Linked DNA regions of Macaca mulatta. The protein of the gene in region 1 purifies or fractionates together with the protein of each later gene. This does not show direct contact. Links are inferred from orthologs where the notes say so. Each region holds a gene or a part of one and is shown in the gene's direction. Other genes may lie near its edges. The genes, in order: EIF3F, EIF3B, PRRC2B, EIF4G1 and DDX3X.

The links.
Region 2: the proteins of EIF3F (region 1) and EIF3B purify together in Homo sapiens (affinity purification with mass spectrometry; 14 studies listed by BioGRID and IntAct, counting the BioPlex papers as one, with this or other methods). This does not show direct contact. The link is inferred for Macaca mulatta from reciprocal best matches to the Homo sapiens genes EIF3F and EIF3B.
Region 3: the proteins of EIF3F (region 1) and PRRC2B purify together in Homo sapiens (affinity purification with mass spectrometry; 3 studies listed by BioGRID and IntAct, counting the BioPlex papers as one, with this or other methods). This does not show direct contact. The link is inferred for Macaca mulatta from reciprocal best matches to the Homo sapiens genes EIF3F and PRRC2B.
Region 4: the proteins of EIF3F (region 1) and EIF4G1 purify together in Homo sapiens (affinity purification with mass spectrometry; 3 studies listed by BioGRID, with this or other methods). This does not show direct contact. The link is inferred for Macaca mulatta from reciprocal best matches to the Homo sapiens genes EIF3F and EIF4G1.
Region 5: the proteins of EIF3F (region 1) and DDX3X purify together in Homo sapiens (affinity purification with mass spectrometry; 3 studies listed by BioGRID and IntAct, with this or other methods). This does not show direct contact. The link is inferred for Macaca mulatta from reciprocal best matches to the Homo sapiens genes EIF3F and DDX3X.

The regions. Positions count from the first base shown.
Region 1 is NC_133419.1:57,532,102-57,537,455, reverse strand, and holds the end of EIF3F (eukaryotic translation initiation factor 3 subunit F), read left to right. Parts: intron 1-344; coding exon 345-482; intron 483-2,020; coding exon 2,021-2,112; intron 2,113-2,567; coding exon 2,568-2,704; intron 2,705-2,839; coding exon 2,840-2,953; intron 2,954-3,527; coding exon 3,528-3,605; 3' UTR 3,606-3,754; downstream 3,755-5,354. UniProt on the Homo sapiens protein: Component of the eukaryotic translation initiation factor 3 (eIF-3) complex, which is required for several steps in the initiation of protein synthesis.
Region 2 is NC_133408.1:36,347,282-36,352,821, forward strand, and holds part of EIF3B (eukaryotic translation initiation factor 3 subunit B), read left to right. Parts: intron 1-1,349; coding exon 1,350-1,481; intron 1,482-1,559; coding exon 1,560-1,626; intron 1,627-2,033; coding exon 2,034-2,080; intron 2,081-4,382; coding exon 4,383-4,593; intron 4,594-5,540.
Region 3 is NC_133420.1:16,047,707-16,053,246, reverse strand, and holds part of PRRC2B (protein PRRC2B), read left to right. Parts: intron 1-2,233; coding exon 2,234-2,429; intron 2,430-5,067; coding exon 5,068-5,284; intron 5,285-5,540.
Region 4 is NC_133407.1:96,459,640-96,465,179, forward strand, and holds part of EIF4G1 (eukaryotic translation initiation factor 4 gamma 1), read left to right. Parts: intron 1-711; coding exon 712-804; intron 805-1,008; coding exon 1,009-1,075; intron 1,076-1,373; coding exon 1,374-2,189; intron 2,190-2,244; exon of another isoform or gene 2,245-2,323; intron 2,324-2,453; coding exon 2,454-2,542; intron 2,543-2,634; coding exon 2,635-2,821; intron 2,822-2,909; coding exon 2,910-3,043; intron 3,044-3,171; coding exon 3,172-3,330; intron 3,331-3,496; coding exon 3,497-3,685; intron 3,686-3,871; coding exon 3,872-4,069; intron 4,070-4,291; coding exon 4,292-4,438; intron 4,439-4,968; coding exon 4,969-5,205; intron 5,206-5,358; coding exon 5,359-5,463; intron 5,464-5,540.
Region 5 is NC_133426.1:41,231,758-41,237,822, forward strand, and holds the start of DDX3X (ATP-dependent RNA helicase DDX3X), read left to right. Parts: upstream 1-2,180; 5' UTR 2,181-2,273; coding exon 2,274-2,318; intron 2,319-5,368; coding exon 5,369-5,426; intron 5,427-6,065. UniProt on the Homo sapiens protein: Multifunctional ATP-dependent RNA helicase. The ATPase activity can be stimulated by various ribo-and deoxynucleic acids indicative for a relaxed substrate specificity.

The DNA.
Region 1 (5,354 bases):
CCAGACTGAGTGACAGAGTGAGACCCTGTCTCTAAAAAACAAAAAAGGAAAGTGTGTTACCTGTAGGAACTGTGAATTCAGTGGGTTTTGCTGGTGGTTCTGATCCTGTGGGGCCAGGATATTTTGAATTACCTTGTAAGAGACTTGGAATTTTCAGCAGCACTAAGTCAGCCTTTGATTTTATTTGACATAGTTTTCAATGTATATATTGTTCTTGGCATTTGGTATCACTAGGTATCCCTACCATAGAGGTATTGGGTACCCTAAAGACACCCATGCCACTGTTGTGTTTGATGTTGATGTCACATATAGACATGAGTCTGCAACTGTGTTCCATTTCACAGGTACGCTACAGGCCATGACATCACAGAGCACTCTGTGCTAATCCATGAGTACTACAGCCGAGAGGCCCCCAACCCCATCCACCTCACTGTGGACACAAGTCTCCAGAACGGCCGCATGAGCATCAAAGCCTATGTCAGGTGACCACAGTCTTGGGCTACAAGGGCATAAAACCATGCCTAGATGCCATCCCTCCCCCACCCCAAGCAAGGTTCATTCCTTCCGTGTGTAACTTGCTGTGTTCCTCTCTCTCAACAGTTATTCAAACGGTTTCACTCTGAAACAGAATCTGTTCCTATAATTTCTACCGCTGATCCTAGTTGTACTCCAGTTTCTACTCATTGCCCTTTTAAGTATTTGAGCAAGCTATCAAGTCATCTTTTGTAGAACCTAATTATCCATAGTTCCTACAGCCAGTCATCACATGGTATTTGAGCAAGCTATCAAGTCGTCTTTTGTAGAACCTGACTCCATAGTTCCTACAGCCAGTCATCATGTGGTATTCTTGTCATGATCCTTCACCACATTCATTACTTTTCTGAATTACCCATTAGTTTGTCATCCTCTCTAGAACTCAGCGCAGTACTCAGGGTAGTACGTATTAAAGGATGACTGTCCTTATTTTGAACACATTAATTAACCCAGGATTGAGTGCAGTTTTAATGACAGTGACATTACAGTGAACACATTGAGCTTGCAGGTGGTTAAAATGCCAGTTAAGGGGGATGTTGGGAAAGGCCCTGGTGGTGTGCTGAGGAAGCAGCTGTGGGAGTTGGAAGCAGCTGTGGGAGTTGGAAAGTCAGAGGGAAGGCAGCTGTTAGTGCATCTGTTAGGCTGTTGATTTCGTGCTGGTTCTGTGTCTGACACTGACAAAGCCAATTAACTCTTACACAGTAAGACAAAGATGGTGGATGCCAAGTCTTTATGAGCCAGTTGGCATACCACTAAGCACTAGCCATTGCCTGACTTCTTAGCCTTCCCAAGTATTTCAGACTCCTCAAGATCCAGTATATATATATATATATATATATATATATATATATATGATCTATATATGATCCAGCTGGATGGATGGGTGGGTGGGTGGATGGATGGATGGATGGATGGATGGATGGATGGATGGATAGATAGATAGATAGATACGATAGATACGATAGATACGATAGATAGAGAGTTGACATAGTAAAGTATAGATCCAGGTATATAATTGACATAGTAAAAACAATACCTTTAGTGAGATTACTTATAGCACCCAATCTGATTTGGTGAGCAGGAGTTGGTTTCCTTTTTCAATGCTGATGAAGGGGTTGGTCCCAGAAAAGACTTGTCTCTGTCTCTTTTCCATGGTGGGCAGCTATATAGACAGCCAACTCCATGGGTAATTGAGTCCTGTCCTCTCATCACTGACACTGCACCGTGTGTGAAGTAATCCTCTAAAGGGACCAGGCCAGGTGCAAAGGTTGCGTCCCCTCTTACAGATCAAAGGTTTGGTATGTGGGACAAGCTAAGGGGAGAAAGTAACTTTTGCTCCCATGAGACCTCGGGTTCATTTGGTCCCACCCTTCCTGTCTTAGAACCTTGGGAGCCATATTCCTGCTGTATCTGCATTCTCAGCCCAGAATAGACATGGAAACCCTCTCCCAAGGCCATCTGTTTACCTTGGCTTCTCCTTCCTCAGTACTTTAATGGGTGTCCCTGGGAGGACCATGGGAGTGATGTTCACACCTCTGACAGTGAAATACGCATACTATGACACTGAACGCATCGGAGGTGAGTAACCTTTCCATACTCTCTTGAGAGGTCATAGGCGTTTTCAGGGAAGGGGGCTGCTGTTCTGCAACAAGGATGGAGGCCTTGGGTGGTTTAAAAAGGGACTATTGATCTAAGGTTTGTGAAGACTAGAAGTTACAGTCATCTCTTGTATAAATGGGATTTAAGGAGTTATTTGAGAAACTGTTAAAGGTGGGAAATTATCAGCACCAGAGGCCACATGACCATTCATATGAGATCAAAACCGGTGATGAGCATACCAGGTAAAAGGAGTTGAGCTCTGTTAGGAGGAAGAAAAGCTGATAAGGGCACAGCAGGGAGTGTGATTGAGCAGACTGTCTAAGGGGAGGTGGGAAACAGAGTTAGCAGGACTTTAAGGCCATCTCTTTCCTGGTGGGATGACTGAATTCTCTCTCTTACTGCCCACCACTGCCACTGCCACCCAACTTCCACAGTTGACCTGATCATGAAGACCTGCTTTAGCCCCAACAGAGTGATTGGACTCTCAAGTGACTTGCAGCAAGTAGGAGGGGCATCAGCTCGCATCCAGGATGCCCTGAGCACAGTGTTGCAATATGCAGAGGATGTACTGGTGAGAGGGGAAAGAAAAAACAAAGGGGGAGGACATAGTTCTCCATCCTGGGATTACTGAGGCAGGTGCTGATGAAATGGTAGGGCGCAGTGGTTATAATTAACTGCCTCATTGAGTCTTTGTTTTGGTGCTCAGTCTGGAAAGGTGTCAGCTGACAATACTGTGGGCCGCTTCCTGATGAGCCTGGTTAACCAAGTACCCAAAATAGTTCCCGATGACTTCGAGACCATGCTCAACAGCAACATCAATGTGAGTGCCCTTCCTGAGCCCCTGCTTGCCTGGTTTCTTCCCCTACCTCAGCACATACACTCAAATGTGAAGAGTTGGGTGAGGTGGCCTGGAGTAGGATAGAGACAGGGCTTCACCTATAGCCCCATGGAAGTCCAGGTTGGGAGGAAGGAAGAGGTGTGGTATGCATGTTTGGAGACTTCTTCCTTCTCCCGTGATTACATTGTCTCATTTACTGCTGATGCTACTGTGACTTACTGTCTAAATTTGTGATAGAAAGAAACACTAAAATGCAGAGGTTAAGGAAAATGCAATTACTTGTTTTCCCCATCTGAGTTCACGGACCCCCTATATTCCATCCATGGGTTTCAGCTAAGGCACCCCTAGACTGTAAGTGTCTCAGTAGAGATAAGAAAGTCTTCTCAAGCATTTCTTTTCTGTCGTCTACCTTTTTGACTTTTATTCGGTCTCTCCCAGCTGTCATTTATCCACAACTGTCCTCATACCTGGTGCCCACCATAGAGCCAGCCAGTGCCAGCCTTTTTGCTCCCTTTCCACCCAACCCCCCACTCATTGTGTATTCTTTGTCTTCCAGGACCTGCTGATGGTGACCTACCTGGCCAACCTCACACAGTCACAGATTGCCCTCAATGAAAAACTTGTAAACCTGTGAATGGACCCCAAGCAGTACGCCTGCTGGTATAGGTCTTAAACCCAGGACTCAGAAGTGAAGGAGAAATGGGTTTTTTGTGGTCTTGAGTCACACTGAGACAGTCAACTGTGTGTGACTCTAATAAACATAGCCTACCTTTTGTAAATTAATTTCATCTTATGTGAGTTTATTGCCGGGTGGAAGGGAGGAAAATGTTTTAGATCACACAGAAACCAGGAAGTGAATATTGTAGGTAAAAAAGTTGGTTATGTGTTTGGCAGGTTACTGTTTTACCAAACTGTTCTTTTGGTTTTCAATATGGAAAGGTGTCCATTGGCAAAACTGTACCTTTTCTTGAGGATTCGTGTGATTTCTGTAGGAAATGAAAATAAGAATCCATGGAGAAAAAATAGCTGAGAAAATTGGATGCTTAATCTAAACTAAAAGAGTAGAGTGTGTAGTCACTATCTTAAAATACATTAATAGTAAGATGGAGCTGTCTGCCACTTTAGTTTGGGGAGGGACAATTAAGATCTGTGGGTTAAAGATTAAAGAGGTTTCCCCAAAACTTCAGAAAATTCTTAGGTGCTATCTGTAACTTGAGGGTACAGCCTTCAGTTATATTGAGGTCTGCCAGTGGCTCAATTTGAGCAAAGACTAGATGGCATTTCCCAGAGGCCTTGTAGGCTAGAGTACTTGCCTGTGTAACTTCAGACATCCGTTTCCTCTGGTATCCTGGAGTTCCACCTCACCACTGTGTGTCTTAGAAAGAAACAAGTCATTATTCAAGAACTCAGGAAATTACATATTGGAGTGAAAAGGTGGATGAAGGCAATGGGGAATCAAAAAGGCCTGGATCCTAGTTCTGAGGTATGTGTAGCCTTAGGAAAGATAAATTATTATAAAAGTCATAAGATATGGATCATAAACATACATAGTCCATTAGGGTATTATGAGGATTCCATGAATTAATAAATGTCAGGTTAATCACCACTTGTAGAGAATAGCTCCTGGTATGTAGTAAGCACAGATAAGTGGTAGATGCTATGATACCTAAAGCTGAATAGTTTGAAAGTAATAAGCAATATGAACCCCAGCCTGGAATTCAGTTCTGAGATATGTACCTTAGGAAATACAAGTTATGGGAGTCATAAAGTATGGATAGTAATGATAGATACTTTCTTACAGGTAGGGAAGTGTAAACAGATCTTACTGGCAAAATGGTAATGACAGGCCAAACTGTGAGGTTAAAAGTAGAGAGCATGGTGGGAAGAAGGTTAATCGAGTCAAAAAAGTTTTCTTACATTTTTGGGAGTAGCCAGTTAATATCAACTTAGTCTTTTTAAGTATGCATGATAAAATTCCAAGGTTAATTGCTAGAAGTATATATAATCCCTAAATGAATAGTGATGAGAAATGGTGGGATAATAGGCAAGAAACAAAATTTTAAATTTGAGAAATAAGCATAGAAAAGGTGGATAAAACAAGATGGCAAAACAAGTCCAAATACATCAGTAATTATAATAAATGTGTAAGTATTAAACTAGCCCGAGGAAAAATTGAATATTAAAGCAAACCCCAGTTGTATGTTGTTTACAGGAGACACATCTAAAACAAGGACATATAAGTTGTCCTCCAGCTGTAACAACATAGGTGAATGTTAATCGTGTTGAATGAAAAAAGCTGGTCTCAGAAGACATACATTATGATACTCCAAAAGTTCAAAAACAAGTGAAACTTGTTTAGACATGCAGTTGGCTGTCTGTATAT
Region 2 (5,540 bases), on another chromosome or scaffold:
GAGACGGAGTCTTGCTCTGTCGCCCAGGCTGGAGTGCAGTGGTGTGATCTCCACTCACTGCAAGCTCCGCCTCCCAGGTTCAAGCCATTCTCCTGCCTCAGCCTCCCGTATAGCTGGGACTACAGGCGCCCGCCACCGGGCCCGGCTAATTTTTGTATTTTTTTTAGTAGAGACGGGGTTTCACCATGTTAGCCAGAATGGTCTCGATCTCCTGACCTCGTGATCCGCCCGTCTCGGCCTCCCAAAGTGCTGGGATGACACGCATGAGCCACTGCGCCCAGCCAATTTTTTGTTTTTTTTTTTTGTTTTTTTTTTTTTTTGAGACGGAGTCTCACGCTGTTGCCCAGGCTGGAGTGCAGTGGCGCGATCTCGGCTCACTGCAAGCTCTGCCTCCCAGGTTCCCGCCATTCTCCTGCCTCAGCCTCCTGAGTAGCTGGGACTACAGGCGCCCGCCACCGCGCCTGGCTAATTTTTTGTTTTTTTTTTTTTTTTTTTTTTTTTTTTTGAGACGGAGTCTTGCTCTGTCACCCAGGCTGGAGTGCAGTGGCCGGATCTCAGCTCACTGCAAGCTCCGCCTCCCGGGTTTACGCCATTCTCCTGCCTCAGCCTCCCGAGTAGCTGGGACTACAGGCGCCCGCCACCTCGCCCGGCTATTTTTTTTGTATTTTTTAGTAGAGACGGGGTTTCACCGTGTTAGCCGGGATCGTCTCTCGATCTCCTGACCTCGTGATCCGCCCGTCTCGGCCTCCCAAAGTGCTGGGATTACAGGCTTGAGCCACTGTGCCCGGCAATTTTTTGTAGAGACGGGGTTTCACTGTGGTCTCGATCTCCTGACCTTGTGATCCGCCCGCCTCGGCCTCCCAAAGTGCTGGGATTACAGGCTTGAGCCACCGCGCCCGGCCAATTTTTTGTATTTTTAATAGAGACGGGGTTTCACCGTGGTCTCGATCTCCTGACCTTGTGATCCGCCCGCCTTGGCCTCCCAAAGTGCTGGGATTACAGGTGTGAGCCACTGTGCCCAGCCTACCTTGTTAGTCTTAATGAAACATGAGTAAAGATAGAATTCCACACTGTGCCTCCCTCTAGATCACTCAGCAGCCTTTTGTGTGGGGCCTGTGAGATCTTTCTGTGCTGATCTTGGAGAAACCAGAGTGTCTGCAGTGTATTGACACCAGAATGAACAAGCGCTGCTGCTTCCCTCTTCCGCTTGGAACTCTTGGGGCCGGGCAGTGTGGGGTTGCGGGAGAGAGTTGGTTCCATGAGTTCTGACCGCGTGTTCTGGCCGCACAGACAGACTACGATCCTCTCGTGAGAGGAGGGTAGCATACAGTGTGGCCCCTCTCTTCTAGGTACCTGGTGACCTTTAGCCCCCTGATGGACACGCAGGATGACCCTCAGGCCATAATCATCTGGGACATCCTTACAGGGCACAAGAAGAGAGGTTTTCACTGTGAGAGCTCAGCCCATTGGCCTATTTTTAAGTAAGTGGACCATTGTAACGAGCTCTGTAGCCTTTGTCTTTTCATTGGAACACCTTGGCATTTGTTTCTTCTTCTTAGGTGGAGCCACGATGGCAAATTCTTTGCCAGAATGACCCTGGATACGCTTAGCATCTATGAAACTCCTGTAAGTGGTCCCGGTGATGGAAAACGCCCCGTCCCATCCTTGCTTGTAACTGGGGTGTGGTGCTTTTCCGTATTTGTGCTAGAAGAGGAGGAGGAGGTTTCACAGATGCGTAGGAAAGTCCTGTCTCCTGTGCCTTTTTAACAAACCTTGCTCTGGGCAGAGCTCTTCAGTCACTCCTGCCCCCCTGGCACAGCCGTGGGGGGTCCTGGATGAGAGTTAATGCAGTGGGCTTCAGAACTGCAGTTCTCGGTGGTGGGTGGGTGGGTGGAATCATTGTCATCCTCTGTGTGCGCTGCCCTCTAGGCAAATTCACATCAGACTCTGGTTTCCTTTTGTAAAAAGTTAAGTGTGCTTCTGAGACACTGACATGATTTGACTCAACTTTAGCCTTCCTTTTTTTTGGGCAGTCTATGGGTCTTTTGGACAAGAAGAGTTTGAAGATCTCTGGGATAAAGTGAGTATTCTTATCAATTTGGTGTCTTCTTGCGTTCAGGCTGCTTAACACAATACCATAGGCGGGGTGGCTTATGACAGCAGAGATTTCTTTCTCCCAGTTCTGGAGCTTGGGAGCCCGAGGTCAGGGTGCCTGCAGACCCATGGTGAGGGCCCACCTCCCTCCTCATGGACGGCCCCTCAGTCCAGCCTTCCCGGAAGAAGGCTTCCGGGGCTGCTCTGTAAAAGCTGTCATCTCATTCCCGAGGGCTTCACCCTCAGGACCTCCCACCCCCAAAAGGCCCCACCCCATGCCATCACCCAGGGGGTTAGAATTTCACCCTGTGAATTCGGAGGACACAGACGTGGTCCATTGCAGTTGGTTTCCTTTATTTGTGCTCTCTCCTTTAGCACTCAGCTTTTTTTTTGTTGTTAAAGAGACAAAGTCTTGCTCTGTCACCCAGGCTGGAGTGCAGTGGTATGATCTCCGCTCACTGCAACCTCCACCTCCTGGGTTCAGGTGATTCTTCTGCCTCAGCCTCCCGAGTAGCTGGGACTGCAGGTGCCCACCACCATGCCTAGCTAATTTTTGTATTTTTCACAGAGACAGTTTCACTGTGTTGGCCAAGCTAGTCTCAGAACTCCTGACCTCAAGTGATCCGCCCACCTCAGCCTCTCAAAGTGCTGGGATTACAGGCGTGAGCCACTACCCCCGGCCATTTTTAAGTCTTTTTTGAGACGTAGTCTTGCTCTGTTGCCCAGGCTGGAGTATAGTGGTGTGCCTCCCAGGTTCAAACGATTCTGGTGCTTCAGCCTCCCGAGTAGCTGGAATTAACAGGCGCACCACCACCACGCCTGACTAATTTTTTGTATGTTTTAGAAGAAACGGGGTTTCACCATGTTGGCCAGGCTGGTCTTGAACTCCTGACCTCAAGTGATCCACCTGCCCGCCTCAGCCTCCCAAAGTGCAGGGATTACAGGTGTGAGCCACCATGCCCAGCCTAAGGTGAGTTTGTTCTGGACGCCAGGATGGAGGCTTGGGTCGATGGGCAAGGCTGCTCATTGCTGGGCCCACCACCCTCAAGGCACCACTTCAGTGACCCCTTTCCTGTGCCCAGAAATGAATCTTCCAAGGCCAGAGCCTTGAGTCGGCTTCCTTCCATTTACCTCGTCTTTGACCTAGAAACTAGGGGGGTTTCCAGCCTTAAGGAAGAGAGGGGACTCTGCTTAGGCGAAAGGTTTTCCTATTGCTCTTCTGTCTGAGGCAGAGTTTGGGGAGCCTTCAGCTCATTTTCACCATCAAAGAATGGGCACGTTTTTATTTATCGGAAAACTTGGGACTAGTCAGTATTATAGTAGTGAACTACCAGCAATCCAAGGACATTGACGTGTCTTCTTTCATTTTTACATTCTTGGGCAAAATTATGGCTTATAAAATGAGAAGACCAGGACGTTGGTTCTCAGTAAATGCAAAACAGCACATAGCGTGTATAAAGCTGTTTTTCATGTAGGTGAGCTCAGGATCGTTCGTTCCTTACAGCAGCTTTTCTGTAGAGAGGTTGATACAGTGGAGGGAGTTGCCCTTTTTCTTTTCTTTTTTTTTTTTTTTTTTTTTTTTTTGAGACGGAGTCTCGCTGTGTCACCCAGGCTGGAGTGCAGTGGCGCGATCTCGGCTCACTGCAAGCTCCGCCTCCCGGGTTTACGCCATTCTCCTGCCTCAGCCTCCGAGTAGCTGGGACTACAGGCGCCCGCCACCACGCCCGGCTAGTTTTTTTTTTTTGTATTTTTAGTAGAGACGGGGTTTCACCATGTTAGCCAGGATGGTCTCGATCTCCTGACTTCGTGATCCACCCGCCTCGGCCTCCCAAAGTACTGGGATTACAGGCTTGAGCCACCGTGCCCGGCCTGAGTTGCCCTTTTTCTTGCTCATTCCTTATACTTGATTTGCCGGTTTCCCCATTTGCACCTTAATTAATCTTCAGATGACGTAATAGCCCGGTCAACCAGCCTACAACTTACTTGCGTCAAAGCAGCAGTGTGCGGTGTCTTAAGAGTGGGCTGACAGAGCGTAGGCTGGAGTCCCTATGAATCTGTGTGTGATGGTGGGGTTGCTAATACTCTGTCTGCATTCATTCCCTGTTACAGTGAGCACGGTAGTGCCCCAGGGTCCTGGCGAGGACCTGTGAAGCTGCCCGGCGGGAGTGCTCAGCGTCAGTTATAACAGCATTGAGCTTCTGTATAGCAAATGAGTTGTTTTATTTTCTTCTGCTTTTCAGTTTCATCACTTGGCCTTTGCTTTAGCGTTTTATTTTCCTGTCGTGCAGAGACTTTTCTTGGTCTCCTGGTGGTAACATAATCGCCTTCTGGGTGCCTGAAGACAAAGATATTCCAGCCAGGGTAACCCTGATGCAGCTCCCTACCAGGCAAGAGATCCGCGTGAGGAACCTGTTCAACGTGGTGGATTGCAAGCTCCACTGGCAGAAGAACGGAGACTACTTGTGTGTGAAAGTAGATAGGACTCCGAAAGGCACCCAGGTATGTAGATTCCCTTGGGAACTGGCGATTCATTATCCTCAGCTCTGAAGTGGCCACCGTATTGTTTGGAGGTTGTTAATGGATTTTGTTTTGTTGTGTTTGTTTTTGAGACGGAGTCTCGCTGTCACCAGGCTGTAGTGCAATGGCGCGATTTTGGCTCACTGCAGCCTCCGCCTCCTGGGCTCAAGCGATTCTCTTGCCTCAGCCTCCCAAGTAGCTAGGACTACAGGCGTCCGCCACCAGGCCCGGCTAATTTGTGTATTTTTAGTAGAGACAGGGTTTCATCATATTGGCCAGGCTGGTCTTGAACTCCTGACCTCAGGTCTGCCCACTTCGGCCACCCAGAGGGATGGGATTACAAGCGTGAGCCATTGTGCCCAGCTGAGAATACTATTGTCTTTCTGAGCACAAAGAGTAGTATACCCAGATTTTTTATTTTTTTTTGGTGGTTGATCATTTAATACTTATTTTATCAAAAAAATTGCCTGAGTTGGCTGGGTGTAGTGGCCCGTGCCTGTAATCGCAGCACTTTGGGAGGCCAAGGTGGCCAGATCACGAGGTCAAGAGATTGAGACCATTCTGGCACACATGGTGAAACCCCATCTCTACTAAAAGTGCAATAATTAGCTGGGCATGGTGGCGCGCGTCTGTAATCCCAGCTACTCGGGAGGCTGAGGCAGGAGAATTGCTTGAACCCAGGGGGCGGAGGTTGCAGTGAGCTGAGAGATTGCGCCACTGCACTCCAGCCTGGCGACAGAGCCAGACTCTGTCTCAAAAAAAAAAGAAAAAAAAATTCCTGAGTTTTCCCTCTAATGGAAGTATTCCTCTTTGTTTTGTGTTAAAAAAGTTTTAATTGATAGGTAATTCACATGCCTTAAAACACCCCTTTAGAGTGGCGAACTGGTTCAGTGGCTTTTTGTGTGTTCAGAGTTGTGCAGCCAGCACCG
Region 3 (5,540 bases), on another chromosome or scaffold:
CACCAATCTCTCCTAGTCCTGATGGTCTTGAAGCACTCATCAGCAATCGTGCCTACTAGAGTAGTAATAAGTAAAGGAACACAGTAGTCAATACTGAGGAATAGTGCATTTTGTTGGGAAACTGAGGTGATACGTAGACATTACTTGGTGCACACCAAACAGCAAGGTGTGCAGTAAATTATTACTAATATTAGCTGAAAATATTTCAAAACCTGTGTGCTGTGGAGAAACAAGCCAAGGACTTAAGGCTTTTCCCAGTATCTCACTTAATTACCTTTAAACTTCTCTGCTCAGCCTCTTCTCTCTTCTGGGCCCCTGGGAGCATTCCAGGGACTGCCTTTAATGTGATTTTAGAGCATGGGAGTGTAGGCGAGCACTGCACAGTTACTCATGTTCGTGGGTTATAGAATTACTGATGGGGGAGAGCTCTGGAATTACTTGTGCCAAACCTAGCAGTGACAGTTGCGCTAGGTAACTCCTTGGGGTGCGGAGGGAAGTGATGGGTAAGTCCTTCCTTAAGAATAGAAGGAATTGTCAGGCGTGGTGGCCCACGTCTGTAATCCCAGCACTTTGGGAGGCCGAGGCAGACGGATCACCTGAGGTCAGGAGTTCGAGACCAGCCTGACCAACATGGTGAAACATCATCTCTACTGAAAATACGAAAAGTAGCCAGACGTGGTGCTGTGCACCTGTAATCCGCTACTCAGGAGGCTGAGGCAGGAGAATCGCTTGAACCTGGGAGGTTGGAGGTTGCAGTGAGCCGAGAGCGCACCACTGTACTCCAGACTGGGTGACAGAGCGAGACTCCATCTCAAAAAAAGGAAGTCTGAAAGCACCAGGGCAGCCTGTCTAGTCATAGTTGCTGGAAACCTAGGGTGTAGACAGGAAGAGGAGCTGGGAGATGGAGGCCCACAGCCTTTTCTGTGGACTGGGAGAGTGAATGACTCAAGTCTCTTGATTGATGACCTATATTTATTGAGTGCTCTTAATAAGCACTGGGAGCACCAACAGAACCGTCCAGGGAATCAGCTCAGGATGTGCTGTAGACTGCCAGGCGGATTGGCCGCCTTTTTGTTTTCAGAATGGAAGGATGTGTGCTGGAGGCTGCTTGGGCGTCCTCAGAGTGTGAGGCAGCAGTGAGTCCTGCCTCAAGGCCAATTCAGGGTTCCTTTAGGAATTAGCACCCGGGGTCACTGATGGGATAGAGCAGGGTCTGAAATGAACCCTCTTGAGTCAGGCAAGAGCCTTGATTTTGAATAGTTGACTGATACTTTCTGTTTACCCATTTGTGCAAATGTTCTGTATCCCGATTGTGCTGTGGGCAAGGGTGCACAGGGAGTCTCTTAGGGTTCGGTGAGGGTTACCAGCAGTCCAAACCATCAACTGCTGTGAGTGCAACAAAGGAGCACTGGCCGTTCTGTGTGAGCAGAGAACTGGGGATCTGGTCTCGTCTGGGTGTAATGACAGGCTTCCTAGAGGATGTGTTGAAGCTGGAAACCTGGATTTAGGGACGGAGGGAAGAGGCGCTTACCTAGGGGCCCCAGTGTATTCCCATGGCCTGAAGTGGTGGCAGGGATATATGGAGCAGAAAGCAGAGGGCCAGTCGTGCAAGGCAAAGCTAGAGAGGCAGACTGGGCAGTCACATGGGACCCAACCCTCACCCTAACCCCATAGGTCACGAGTAGCCTCGTAGGATTTAGGCTGTCGGGTGGAGAGTGGTGGAGAACCACTGAAGGCTCTTTTGAGCTAGGGGTCGACCTATTGGGCGTGGGGTGTCTGTGTGAAAAGATCACCCTAGTCGAGGATGGAAAATGGATTGAAGAGGCCAGGAGGGAGCAGGGAAGGGATGCTGGTATATTATTTAACCTCAGGTGGTAGCTGCAGACAAGGAGAGAAGTGGCCAGCGTCCAGACATTCTGTGGGAGGCTGCTGGTGGATTCCAGGAGTGTCTGATCTAAGTGAAAACCTAGCCTGGCTCGTGTACCACAGGCGCAGATGGGCCTCCATTGTGATAATGGCTTGGCTCTCCACCAGCCTTGGACAGGGACCTGAGCTTGCAAGCTGTAACACATTGGGGGCTCCCCCTTGAGCAGCTGCCCATCCCTCCCCTCTTTGGTCTTCTGTTCCAGGTGGGCTTTTTGTGCTGCCTGCTGGAAAGCTGGAAGGCGTGTGTTGGGTGGCATCTCAGCCCCCTGCCGCACCAGCCTGACCAAGTCTCTCTCTTTGCGGGCAGGAGCAACTGTACAAGATGCAGCACTGGCAGCCGGTGTACCCCCCGCCATCCCATCCCCAGCGCACCTTTTACCCACACCACCCCCAGATGCTGGGCTTCGATCCCAGGTGGATGATGATGCCTTCCTACATGGACCCACGCATCACGCCCACTCGGACCCCAGTGGACTTCTACCCCTCCGCCCTGCATCCATCAGGTAAGCACTGTGGTCTAATGGTCCATACCTGTATCACCCAGGATAGCGCGGTGGTCAAGGGTGTCATCTCGAGTTAAACAGATACACCTGGATTTTGGTCTGGCTCTTTGTCATGTACACGACTGGTCTGAATTTCAAAGGACTCGCTGGCAAAGTATAGGTACAATAATAGTTCTGTCATAAAGATTTGTCGGGAAAGTCATGAAGATCGTGTATCATAAATTGCTTTAATTAATTTTAGATTTCTGCTGTGTCGTTTTGTCCTTCTCATTCTTAATGTTCTTTGTGCTGTCTCTTCTTTCCTTGATTAGTCTTTCCCAAGGTTTGTCTAGTGCCTTTTTAAAATCAGTATTTGGGCTTCTTCATTACTGTATCTTATTTGGGTTTTATTTTAATAATGTCTGGTTTTTCTTTTCTTACTTCCTTTAAAATATCATACACTTAGTTTACTAATTTCTGGCTTTTAAGATTCTCTTTGTGGTACTAATTTCTAATGTAGTTGCTCTGTGGTCAGATAATATGGTCTGTGTGTTACAGACCAGGGGTCAGCAAACTTCTACAAATGACCAGATAGTAAGTCTTTTAGGCCCTGATCAACTAGTCAGTTGTGGTGTTGTAGGATGAAAACGGCCATAAATGATAGTAAGTGAGTGAACATGGTTGTTTTTTCCATAAAATGTTACTTATAAAAACCTGCAGCAGGCTGAGTTTTGTTTAATGGCTGTAGTTTGCTGACCAACTCCTGACTTAGGTTGCTTGACATTTGTTGGGTTTTCTCTGTAACCTCTTCTGTGGTGATTCTAACATTCTACATTTGCCTGAAAAGACTGTATTCTCTGGTTGGAGATAGTCCATTAAGTTTAGCATGCTAATTGTGTTGTGCAAATGTCTTCTTCATTGCAAGTTTTTATCCCTTTGACCAGTTACTAAAAGGTGTTTTAAAATGTCCCACTATGATTATGGATTTGTCAGATCTTCTTTGGGAGCCTGTCAATTTTTGCTGTGTCTATCTGGAGGCATACAGGTTTAGAATTTCTGTATCTTGTTCCTTCTATCCTTATGTAGTACCCTTGTTATCATTAATAGTGCTTTCTATCTTTATTGCCTACTTTGATAGCAATATAATAATTCTAGTTTTTTGTTGATAAGTATTTGAAGTCTTTTGTTCCAATTTTTACAGTTAGCTTCTTTGAGTCCTTATTTTTTGGGAGTGTATCTTTGTATCTACAAGATGTGTATGGCTTTACCACTCTGAAAGTCTATGACTTTTAATTGCAAAAGTTGGTCCTTTTAGATTTATTGGGATTACTTTTATTATTGTTAGAGACAGAATCTTGCTCTGTCGCACAGGTTGGAGTGCAATGGTGCAATTTCAACTCACTGCAACCTCTGCCTCCTGGGTTCAAGTGATTCTCCTGTATCAGCCTCCTGAGTAGCTGGAATTACAGGCACCTGCCACCATGCCTGGCTGATTTTTTTTGTATTTTTAGTAGAGACGGAGTTTCACTATGTTGGCCAGGCTGGTCTCGAACTCGACTGACCTCAAGTGATCTGCCTGCCTTGGCCTCCCAAAGGGTTACAGGCATGAGCCACCACGCCCAGCCTTATTGGGATTTTTTTTTTTTTTTGAGACGGAGTCTCGCTCTGTCACCCAGGCTGGAGTGCAGTGGCTGGATCTCAGCTCACTGCAAGCTCCGCCTCCCGGGTTCACGCCATTCTCCTGCCTCAGCCTCCCGAGTAGCTGGGACTACAGGCGCCCGCCACCTCGCCCGGCTAGTTTTTTGTATTTTTTAGTAGAGACAGGGTTTCACTGTGTTAACCAGGATGGTCTCGATCTCCTGACCTCGTGATCCGCCCGTCTCGGCCTCCCAAAGTGCTGGGATTACAGGCTTGAGCCACCGCGCCCGGCCTGGGATTATTATATTTAGATTTTCCAACTATGATAGTTCATGCATTCCATTCTTATTCTTCTCTTTCTATGCCTTTTCTTCTTATTCCTGCCTTTTCTTGGTCCTATTCTTGTTTTTCTTTTGCTTCTACGTTTCATTTCTATATGTTAGTGGTTACATGAACATTCTAACATGCACCTTCAACTTAGCAAAGTATTTGGGGAGGTAGAAAGTCTTTGTCCCTTAAACCCCCATGAAAGTAGGCATGTGAGTCTGAATTCCTGGGAGGGGGACAGTGGTTTCCCTGCCCTGGTCCAGGCTAGACAGACCACCAGTCTGTTCCCGGTAGTAAAGTGCATATGTCTATCTAATGTGCCTTTTGAGGATGTGGCCCTTTTGGGTCTTTGTTTTAAACAGTGTCTCAGTTGTATCTCCCTGCCCTGTTTAGAAAGACTTCATCCCCTGTCCTGTGAGTGTTAAGGACCAAGCCCGTATCTGACAAATGTGCTTTTCTTGCCCGCTTCCTTGGACTTCACAGGTCTTTGAACCAGGCAAGGTGCATGCGTGTGTGCCTTCAGAGGTCTTCAGGTCAGGACAGATTAAGAGCCCTGTGATGTGTAGGTGGGTGGGGTGCTGTATCCACGGGACAGTCAGGGTAACTGTTGACTTCTTTGGGCCTTTGGTTGAGCCTGAGATTGGAGCAGGGCTTTCTAAATGAGATGATGTAGATCAGTCTTTGCCTTCTTCAGGACTGATGAAGCCCATGATGCCCCAAGAGTCCCTCAGTGGGACAGGCTGTCGCTCTGAGGATCAGAACTGTGTGCCCCCACTCCAAGAAAGAAAAGTGACCCCCATCGATTCACCCCCTGTGTGGAGCCCAGAGGGCTACATGGCACTGCAGAGCAAGGGCTACCCGCTCACGCACCCGAAGTCGAGCGACACCTTGGCTATGGACATGCGTGTCAGGTGAGATGAAGCCTGGTCCTGCTGCCTTGCCACTGAAGGAAGATTCCAGGTCCGAATCCAGAGGTCCTGGGATGAGCTACCATCCTCATCCACAGGGCCCTGGGATGAGCTACCATCCCAGGAGACACTGCCCATGGGAGACGTGCTCTTTTGAAGGGACTCCTGGTTCCTTTGGGGAAGGAGAGTGTGAGGAGGATTGCTTAAATGCTTTGTGCAAGAGGCTCTTTTCAGATGGCGAGACTTAAGGTGAAGGAGA
Region 4 (5,540 bases), on another chromosome or scaffold:
ATGGGGTCTGTGGAAGGCTCAGGTTCTTTGTAAGATACTAAGATTTTAGCATAGAAGCAGGTCATGGGAAGACTGAAGTGGCTAGCGAGGAAGTTCCTGTGAGACCTGGGTGCTGGGAGGTTGGAAGAACTGTGCTTGCTTTTGGGCTTCTGGTGGCTTGCCTTGGAAATGGTTTGTTTTCTGTGGCCCCAGCCCCCATCCCCACCCGGCCCCCCCCACAAGTCCTGGAAGCTCTCAAGGCCTCCGCCTCTGCTCAGTCCTCAAGCCCTGGGCGTGGTGCCCAGAATAGGGTGCCAGAGCTGGGGAAGCCGCTGAGTCACCCTGGCTCCACCTACTGGATCTGGGCCCTGCCCCCAGAGATCAGGCACACTAGCCACAAGTGAGCCGATTGGGTGCTAGATGGGGGTCTTGGGCCCCAGGGTGTGCAGCCACTGGCTTGGGGACTGCTGGTGGGGTAGGGATGAGGGAGGGAGGGGCATTGTGATGTACAGGGCTGCTTTGTGAGGTCAAGGGTCTCTTAAGGGTGGGAGCTAGGGCAGGGACTACAAGAGCAGCCAGATGGGCTGAAAGTGGAACTCAAGGGGTTTCTGGCACCTACCTACCTGCTTCCCAGTGTGGGGTGGGGAGTTGGCCCAGAGTCTTAAGAGTGGGGCAGGGTGGAGAGGTGGGCTCTTCCTGCTTCCCACTCATCCCATAACTTTCTTTCCCCAGATCCGAATTCGAGATCCAAACCAAGGAGGAAAGGATATCACGGAGGAGATCATGTCTGGGGCCCGCACTGCCTCCACACCCACCCCTCCCCAGGTACTGTCTGTTTTTTGAGCGATACCCTGACTGGGATGTCTGTTCTGCCCTGGACTCCCAAGTCTCTGGATCTTTTCTTTCAACTAAGGGATTTATTTCCCTGCTTTCCTGGATTTCTAGGCAGAGCTAAAGTAGAAATGGCTCTAGTAAAGAAGGGTTGTGGGACTCTTCAGTGCAAACTTGGTAACCCTTTGTGTCCTGCAGACGGGAGGCGGTCTGGAGCCTCAAGCTAATGGGGAGACGCCCCAGGTTGCTGTCATTGTCCGGCCAGGTAAGTAAGCGGGTGGGATGGAACTTTTACGGGGAAAGGGAATGTTGACAGTTTGCTGTCACCTCAATGCTGAGGTGGTGGAGTGACTTGAACTGGGTACCAGAGAAGGATGACTTAGATTTCAGGTCGTGGGATTTTGAGGGTGAATTGGGTTTTGGATGAAAGTGGAAGTATAGCTTAGGTGGGAGATGATGACGTGGGAGTGTTAAGTTGGAAATACCTTGGCTGGAGGATGGGGAGGAACAACAGCAGTGAAGCACTTGCCTTTAGTTGCTCATTCTTCCTTCCTATGGTGCAGATGACCGGTCACAGGGAGCAATCATTGCTGACCGGCCAGGGCTGCCTGGCCCAGAGCACAGCCCTTCAGAATCCCAGCCTTCGTCACCTTCTCCGACCCCATCACCATCCCCAGTCTTGGAACCGGGGTCTGAGCCTAATCTCGCAGTCCTCTCTATTCCTGGGGACACTATGGCAACTATACAAATGTCTGTAGAAGAATCAACCCCCATCTCCCGTGAAACTGGGGAGCCATATCGCCTCTCTCCAGAACCCACTCCTCTCGCCGAACCCATACTGGAAGTAGAAGTGACACTTAGCAAACCGGTTCCAGAATCTGAATTCTCTTCCAGTCCTCTCCAGGCTTCCACTCCTCTGGCATCTCACACAGTGGAAATTCATGAGCCTAATGGCATGGTCCCATCTGAAGATCTGGAACCAGAGGTGGAGTCCAGCCCAGAGCTTGCTCTTCCACCAGCTTGCCCCTCCGAATCCCCTGTGCCCATTGCTCCAACTGCCCAACCTGAGGAACTGCTCAACGGAGCCCCCTCGCCACCAGCTGTGGACTTAAGCCCAGTCAGTGAGCCAGAGGAGCAGGCCAAGGAGGTGACAGCATCAGTGGCGCCCGCCACCATCCTCTCTGCCACTCCAGCTATGGCTCCTTCAGCTACTTCCCCCGCTCAGGAGGAGGAAATGGAAGAAGAAGAAGAAGAAGAGGAAGAAGGAGAAGCAGGAGAAGCTGAGAGTGAGAAGGGAGGAGAGGAACTGCTCCCCTCAGAGAGCACCCCTGTTCCAGCCAACTTGTCTCAGAATTTGGAGGCAGCAGCGGCCACTCAAGGTAAGGATTGGTTGGGCAGTAGAGGTAGGGTGGGCTAGGGGATGTGGTTCCTTGCCCTCCTTGATGACCTCCCGTTTTTGCCATGTTTCTGGGTCATAGAGGCCCTGCAATGGAATCTAAGAACTAGATTAAGGACTTTTAAGCCTGAAGACTGTGATGCAAAGGGGAAATATGTACTTTGGCTGCTTTTTATTTCCCAGGGATTAAGGGTACTCCTTAAATTATTGGCAAAGACCCATGCTTTTATTTATTTTTTAAAATTAGTGGCAGTATCTGTGCCAAAGAGGAGACGGAAAATTAAGGAGCTAAATAAGAAGGAGGCTGTTGGAGACCTTCTGGATGCCTTCAAGGAGGTAAGGGAGCAGAAAACGGAAGGGGAGAGGGCCAAGTTGAGGTATGGAACAGTGGTCATTGTGCAACCAAAACTGGTGTTCTGTTGTTCTAGGCAAACCCGGCAGTACCAGAGGTGGAAAATCAGCCTCCTGCAGGCAGCAATCCAGGCCCAGAGTCTGAGGGCAGTGGTGTGCCCCCACGTCCTGAGGAAGCAGATGAGACCTGGGACTCAAAGGAAGACAAAATTCACAATGCTGAGAACATCCAGCCCGGGGAACAGAAGTATGAATATAAGTCAGGTATGCTGAAGAAAGGGTTGAGAATGACTTGAGTTTTCTTATTAGGGCCAGAGAAGACAGTATGATTGCTTCATTCTCTTCCTCGCAGATCAGTGGAAGCCTCTAAATCTAGAGGAGAAAAAACGTTACGACCGTGAGTTCCTGCTTGGTTTTCAGTTCATCTTTGCCAGTATGCAGAAGCCAGAGGGATTGCCCCATATCAGTGATGTGGTGCTGGACAAGGTTAGTGGCTTGAGTCAGGGAGGGGACGATAAGTTTGTGCTGGATGGATTGGGGAGGAGCCTGAGGTCCTGAAAGAGTAGTCAACTGCTCTAGCCTGCTTCTAAGACCTTTTCCTGTCCTCTTTGCAGGCCAATAAAACACCACTGCGACCACTGGACCCCACTAGACTACAAGGCATAAATTATGGCCCAGACTTCACTCCATCCTTTGCCAACCTTGGCCGGCCAGCCCTTAGCACCCGTGGGCCCCCAAGGGGTGGGCCAGGTGGGGAGCTGCCCCGAGGGCCGGTGAGTGGGGCTGGGTAAAGGGGCAGGTGGGTAAGGAGTGGGAGTGGATGATTCCCCTGTGTCTCAGTGCTGACGGGGAGGGTTTTGCCCTGGAGGCGTGTAGTAGTGGTATCACATATTGTGCTGACTAGTTCCACGTCCCCTCTTGTCTTCATCTCTTGCTTAGCAGGCTGGCCTGGGACCCCGGCGCTCTCAGCAGGGCACCCGAAAAGAACCACGCAAGATCATTGCCACAGTGTTAATGACCGAAGATATAAAACTGAACAAAGCAGAGAAAGCCTGGAAACCCAGCAGCAAGCGGACGGCAGCTGATAAGGACCGAGGGGAAGAGGATGCTGATGGCAGCAAAACCCAGGTACTGGCGAGTCCTGCTTTTGGTCTCTCTCCATTTCTTTTCCATGTCTGCTGTCAGTGCCCTCTTTGCTGCTTTTTGTCCTTATCAGTAGCATCTGTCATGCCTAAGTCCCCACCACTCTCTCCTGTCCCTCTGAACAGCCTGTTCTGAGACCCTCACTGGAACTCTTGTCTCCTCTTCCTCCAGGACCTATTCCGCAGGGTGCGCTCCATCCTGAATAAGCTGACACCCCAGATGTTCCAGCAGCTGATGAAGCAAGTGACGCAGCTGGCCATTGACACCGAGGAACGCCTCAAAGGGGTCATTGACCTCATTTTTGAGAAGGCCATTTCAGAGCCCAACTTCTCTGTGGCCTATGCCAACATGTGCCGCTGCCTCATGGCGGTTAGTTTCCACTGGGTTCTAAATCTTATGGTCTAGTTGCCCATTTCTATTCCCAAGACTCCTTGAGTCCAGCTTCTTGGTTCTCCTCCAACTTGCACCTCTTCCAGCTGGAAGGAGGCACAGCTGGGGCCAGATATCTTCCTGGGTCAGGTAGTTAAAGGCTCTTGGAGGGCCTTCCCTGCCCAGTACTAGTCTGAGTGTGACATTCTCTCCGACCTGCAGCTGAAAGTGCCCACTACGGAAAAGCCAACAGTGACTGTAAACTTCCGAAAGCTGTTGTTGAATCGATGTCAGAAGGAGTTTGAGAAAGACAAAGATGATGATGAGGTTTTTGAGAAGAAGCAAAAAGAGATGGATGAAGCTGCTACGGTGAGAGAAAACCCACTACCGATTCCACTCCCCACTTAGCTCCTTCCCTCACCCAGATTCTACTCAACTGTAGAATTTGGAATGGAAATAGTGGTGTCTTGGGGATTTCTCTGGCTCAGAACTTTTTTTTTTCCTTTTTGAGACAGAGTCTCGCTCTGTCACCGAGGCTGGAGTGCAGTGGCGTGATCTTGGCTAGCCTCCACCTCCCGAGTTCAAGCGATTCTCCTGCCTCAGCCTCCCAAGTAGCTGGGATTACAGGCATGTGCCACCATACCTGGCTAATTTTTTTGCATTTTTAGTAGAGACGGGGTTTTACCATGTTGGCCAAGCTGGTCTCAAACTCCTGACCTCAAGTGATCTGTCTGCCTCGGTCTCCCAAAGTGGTGGGATTACAGGCATGAGCCACTATGCCCAGCCAGCCTGCCTCAGGACTGAGTGCTTATTGCTAAGTTTGGATATCCAGGTAGAAAAGGGTTTTAGCAGAGTGGCTGGCTATCTTTTTGACACAATCCCTGTCATGTGAATGGCAGGCAGAGGAACGAGGACGCCTTAAGGAAGAGCTGGAAGAGGCTCGGGACATAGCCCGGCGGCGCTCTTTAGGGAATATCAAGTTTATTGGGGAGTTGTTCAAGCTGAAGATGTTAACAGAGGCAATAATGCATGACTGTGTGGTCAAACTGCTTAAGAACCATGATGAAGAGTCCCTTGAGTGCCTTTGTCGTCTGCTTACCACCATTGGCAAAGACCTGGACTTTGAAAAAGCCAAGGTAGAGGTTCTTGCATCTGGAGGGGGATGGGCTGAAGCATGCGGGGCTCACTGAGCCACAGGGACGGGGCGGAAGGCCTGAGGGGAGGGGTGGGGCCTGCAGTTATAGGTGAGACATGAGAAGTTCCTGGTCTGATGCCTTTCTCCTCCATAGCCCCGAATGGATCAGTATTTCAACCAGATGGAAAAAATCATCAAAGAAAAGAAGACGTCATCCCGCATCCGCTTTATGCTGCAGGACGTGCTGGATCTGCGAGGGGTGTGTGTCCCCCTCCTCCCCACTGCCAGCCTGCTGCCTCCAGTTTCTGACACTGTCTTGTCTGGCCTTCCCTGACA
Region 5 (6,065 bases), on another chromosome or scaffold:
GACACTGATGTCGGTGAAAAGCTAGTTCATTATCATCTAAGCCTAGAACTAACACTGTTTTACATATGAACACAAAGTATCTTTGCCCAGTTTCCATATATTCTGAATTTTCCACAAATGCAACTACTATTTCAACGGAAGGAAGACTGTACTGTTTTATTTAAACATTATTAATAGTTCAACATTGTGGAAAATGAGGTTCCTAGTAGCAATGCTGTACATGGAACTCGAGTTGTGAAATCAAAACACCTTTCCAGTTCGCATTTGTGGCTCTACTGGGCAGGTATCTTCCTACCAGTTAGCGTAGCTGTGCAGCGGCATTAACATATTATAATACGTTGTTTTATTATAATCATTTTGCTTCCGTTTGTTAATAGGTCATGTTTTTTGAAATTGTGTTTGTAGGTTTACATAGTATTACCTATGATTTGTTATTTCAGTATAGGTAAAAGGGACGTTAGAAAATACTAGTTATGAAAAGGAGTTGGGTCTTTCACAGGGTTATGGAATGTAGCAGACTCCTTTTATAGATGAGGAAATTGAGACCCAAAGCCGTTAAACCACTTGCCCCCGACAGTGTGATATTCTCTCCCTATCTCGTTCGAATTTCCATTTCGATTTTAAAAATTGGGGAGAGAAGTTTTGTGTATGGTAAATTATGTGATAAGCACGAACTATTTGAATCCTGGCAGCAGAAGACCCTTTGGAGGGTGGTGGAAACCACTGCGTTTTATTTAATTCCGTCGGGCTGAGGGTCAGAAGGGAGAGGGGAAAGCGGTCGTAAGAAACCACGGATGTGCGTGTGCCGGCTCAAAGCCGGGAATCCACTAGTAAACACATCTTCTTGTATTTAAGGGCCTGCGGCACCGAAGCCGGGACTTGGGGTGGCCTGCCTGGGAGGGGGCCACGGGAAGAGGTTCCTCCGACGGCAGAAACGTGGTTCCTCCCGTTCCTCATACACCGCAGCGGCCTGAGGGTAACCCCGCTGCAGCCCCTCCTGCAGGCCCAGGTTGCACCGACCACAAACATTCCCGACACCCTTGGGCCCTAGAAGAGCCGTTCGCGACCCGCAGGCTCCCCGCAACGCCGGTGTTCACCTGCCCTAAGCAGCTGGGTGCCCAGCGAGAAGAAGCTAGGGGCAAATGTAGCCCGCATTCCTGCGGAGGGCAGGGGTCCCGGGAGGGCGCGCCAGCGGCGGCTCTGGATCAGCGCGTGACTGTCTCATTGTTCCCTCACCGCGGGGGGTGGGGGCGCGCGCGCACACGTCTGGGGGTTGGCCGGGAGGGGCCATTGTGTGTTTCTAGGCGGCGCCCCCGCTACCTAGGCAACAGCGCAGGGAGGTGTCGGGCCACCAGCGCGCCGCCGGCTCCCCTCCATTTCCCCCCGACTCCCGCCCCGTCACCATCCTACCCTCCTCCCTCCTCCTTTCCCCTTCCTCCGCTCCCCTCTTTTTCCTCCCCCTCCTCCCCTTCCCTCTGTTCTCTCCTCCTCTTCCCCGCCCCCCCGTCCCGAGCACTCTAAATTCAAGCCACCGTTTCCTGCTTCACAAAATGGCCACCGCACGCGACACCTGCGGTCACGTGGCCTGCCGCCCTCTCGGTTTCGGGACTGTCTGCCTAGCTCCGACTTCGGGGAGGCTACACGCGGAAGACCGAGGGCAGATTAGACCGGAGAAATCCCACCACATCTCCAAGCCCGGGAACTGAGAGAGGAAGAGTGAAGGCCAGTGATGGAAAAAAAAAAGAAAAGAAAAGAAAAAAAAAAACCCAAGAAAAAAAACCCGAAAAACTAAAGCTGAGTGCATAGGGTTGGAAAGGGGAGCGAAGAGGCCTAGGTTAACATTTCCAGGCCTTTTAGCTGGTGGTAAACGGGAAACGCAAGTTCTCGCGAGATCTCGAGACCTCCGAGGCTGAGACTACGGTTTTAGCGGAGAGCACGGGAAGTGTAGCTCGGGAGAACTGGGACAGCATTTGGCGCTCCAAGCTCCAAGACAGGACTGCTAGGGGCGACGGGACTAAGTAGGAAATCCCGTGAGGTTAGACCTGAGGGAGCGCGCAGTAGCCGGGCATTAGTCGCCGCGACAGGGGATTGCAGTGTGAGAGGGAGGGCACACGTTGTACGTGCTGACGTAGCGGGCTTTCAAGCGGGTATATTAGATCCGTGGCCGCGCGGTGCGCTCCAGAGCCGCAGTTCTCCCGTGAGAGGGCCTTCGCGGTGGAACAGACACACTCGCTTAGCAGCGGAAGACTCCGAGTTCTCGGTACTCTTCAGGGATGAGTCATGTGGCGGTGGAAAATGCGCTCGGGCTGGACCAGCAGGTGAGCCGCAAGGACCCCACTGGGCTGGCTGCTGCGTGAATCCCTCCTCTGACCTAACCTGGCTAATGGCGCAGCGCTAACCGGGACTCTTACTTTTCATTTCCTGGGTGCCCCGGGGCTATGGAGGGACAGGAACGTTGGTTGGGGCTGTCGCCCGGGCCCGGTCTCGGCCCGCTGTATTGTCCCCGGGACGAGCACAATGGCGGCTTTTGTGTGTGCGTGCGCAGGCGGGCGGAGGGGGGAGGGAGTGCGCGCGCTCTCGCGGGGACGCGCATGCGCGAACCCCGACTGATTAGTGACTGGGGGGGGTGTTTTGCGGGAGTGCGCAGCGCGGCGGGACGCGACTGGAGACCCTTTTGGCCTGGAGGGTTTCGGCCTTCACGGCTGGCGCAGCCTGGATTACCGTCTGGAGGACCCGGCGGCATCCGGTGTTTGCGTGCCTGCGAGCAAGGGGTGGAACGCGGCCCAGGAATGTGGGAGGGGGCGGCGCGGCGGGGAGGGGGTGGCCTTCGCTTGGGGTAATGGCGGCGGTCTCTTTTGTGTGGTGCTGGGAGGCGCTGTGGCTCACTCCCGGGAGACGGCGGGTCCCGGGCGGGCGAGGGCCTGGAAAGGAGGATGGAATGGGCGTCTTGTTTTTCCCGGGTTCCTTCCGCAGGCCTTTTCGCTTCAGCCCAGGTTGCGCAGGGTCCGCAGGCCCGGCGCCGCGGCCGGGGAGGCTGCGTTTCCGGAGTGGAAAGTTTTGTGACGCAGAAGATTGGGGAGGAGTGGGGGCGGGGAGGGGAGGCAGGAATGGGCCGCTGGGCTCTGAAGATAGAGGTTAGACGCGGCGGGGAGGTTAGCCAGCGAGGCCCTTTCTCCTCCTTGCTTGGCCCAGGTTGTCCCTGTGTGGCGAGTTAGCCGGGAGCCCCGCGTTTTTCTGGAGTGGAGGGGTCATCGCGGGTTGTGGGAGTGTCTTCATGTTAGTGACTTTGATCCAGGAATCCGCCTTTGGAAAAACACCCGGCTTTTGGGGGAAGTAAACAGTTTTGTTGTTGACTTGTTGCTGCCTGTGGAGTAGAATCTCGCGATGGGTCCGAGGCCCCCCCAGTCTTTTAGACAGAATCTCCTCTTCTAAGGATTTAGGGGCAGAGGAGAGGAGGACGTGTGATCTGAGAGAAGGTTTTGGGCTTTGGTGGCAGGAAGACTGCATCCCGCCGCAACAGTGGCACCACGTTTCAGATAAGCTCTTGTGTGGGTTATGCGGAGCCTTTAAATACACTTCTGATTAGGAGTTAATTTCACAAACTCCGGAATAATCCTGGGACTAAGTTTAGTGGCACAAATTAATTGAATACGTATTTTAATGTAGTCATATGTAATATTTTTTAGGAATTGATCTGTTCCTTTGGGAGCATTTTCTCCCTGTTAATGAACCAATTATATTAAATCCTCTAATTGTTGACACTTCATATGTTGAATTGAACACAGACATTTTAACAATCTACCAGCAGCACAGAGTATTCCCAGTTTTACCATTTTCCATTTAGCTACAGTGTCCTTTTAAGGATTCTAGGCAGCAGTGAACCTTATTTAAAAAGCAAAATTGTACTATAACAAGTGCAAAAGGAAAGTTTGTGGTTCTGCCGTGCTTTAAAGTATTAACGGTAGCAAGAGAAAGCGCGGTGGTGTTTTTTCTCATAGAAATTCTGGAAATTAGGTGCCTGAAGTCTTACACTCAGCATCTGCTTCCAGTTTTCAGTGACTCCATTGATGATGCCTGCAGTTTGGCAGTATCATACTGAGCTTTAAACACAAGATTTATAAACATGGTATATAGTGTATCTTTTGCAAACAGGTTGGCAACGGTACTGTGTAACTTGGTCTTTTGTGGCTTTTTTGAGAAAAATGAAACACTTTGCATGTACAGTTTTTTCCACCAACTACTTGTGAGTAGTTCCTGGTTAGTTATACAACGTTACGAAGGTAGCATATAACCCTTTTCAAGAATGTTGAGGCTTTTGAGATACCAGTGTAAGGGAGATGGGTAGAAATATAGATGAAAGGCACTAAAACGTCCTACTCCCTAAGAGCATTGAATGCCAGTTGTACCATTTATTCAAAGTCATTTTTGAACTTCTGTTACAATGGGGTAATAAACAGGTAACTACTTCAAGCCGGGCTCATGCTTGTAATCCCAGCGCTTTGGGAGGCCAAGGCAGGTGGATCACCTGACCTGAGGTCAGGAGGCCAGCCTGGCCAACATGGCGAAACCCCGTCTCTACTAAAAATACAAAAAGCCTAGCGTGGTGGCGCACCCCTGTAATACCAGCTACTCGGGGAGGCGGAGATTGCAGTGAGCCGAGATCACACCACTGAATTCCAGCCTGGGTTACAGAGGGAGACTGTCTCAAAAAACAAACAAACGAATTAACAGTCAAACTACTTCAGAGTTGTGCTTAACATAGTGTTTTGTGTAAGTGGTTGGTATATTGCTTTTTTTTGTTGTTCTTAAGAGTACTACCCGACTAAAAATACGTAGGCAATATTTGGGGATGAAGGAACTAAAGAACGGCCAATTCAAAATTTGTCCTGACATTTTTCAGGTGTGCTTTTTAGGTTTAAAATACCAGGTACTACAGAAAGTTGGCGTTGGAAATGTTTATGACTGGCACTAAAACGAATCCCTTATCTATTTGACATTGAAGAATAATTTTGAGGTTCAGTGTAAGCTTTAGTTTGGTGATTAGGGAGCCTGTGCTATGGAACATGTTGCAGTGAAAATTCGTTTTGAATGAATGAATGAAATTTGGACAGTTTCTACTGAATAGCACAAGCATCTTGGTGTACCGCCTTCTGTAGTATATACAATAGTAATATTTTGCATTTGCCTAGAGCGTTACAGATTTGAAAGCATTCTTAGTCACTTTCTCATTAAGAGTTGGTATCAGCCCTGTGAGGTGGACTGGCCAACTACTTGAATGCAGTGCTAGCAAATGCTAGAGGGCGCGACTAGTTTTCTCTTAATACAGTATTTGAGCACATGGGGTGCTAACCATCTCACTCTCTTCTAGTTTGCTGGCCTAGACCTGAACTCTTCAGATAATCAGAGTGGAGGAAGTACAGCCAGCAGTAAGTAAAACATCTTATGGATTTATTGAATATTAGAGCTTAATGTCTTAAGATTTCATTGGGCTTATTTAAAATTTAAGAAATTTGCCTTTCAATTTTTACTGCTTAAAGAATTATGTAGTCTAAAGCATTGTTGCCTTTTTTTTTTTTTTTTTTTTTTTTTTGAGATGGAGCTTTGCTCTTGTTGCCCAGGTTGAAGTGCAGTGGTGTGATCTCGGCTCACTGCAGTCTGCCTCCGGGTTCAAGCGATTCTCCTGCCTCAGCCTCCCGAGTAGCTGAGATTACAGGCATGCACCACCACACCTGGCTCATTTTGTATTTTTAGTAGAGATGGGGTTTCTCCATGTTGGTCAGGCTGGTCTCGAACTCCCTACCTCAGGTGATCTACCTGCCTTGGCCTCCCAAAGTGCTGGGATTACAGGCATGAGCCACCGCACCTGGAGAGCGTCGTCGTTGCCTTTCTAGCTGGCTCTCTTGAGTAAAAGCAGTTAACCATTGAAAGGAACCTTATTATATCATATTATCGCTAGAAGAGTTTTCGTCCATTATAAATCCTGAGCCCAGTTTAGAGGTGATGGGGATGTGTCCCTGTTAACTGACTATATTCATCGGTTATAGCTGCTCCTTTCTCCTGAAGAA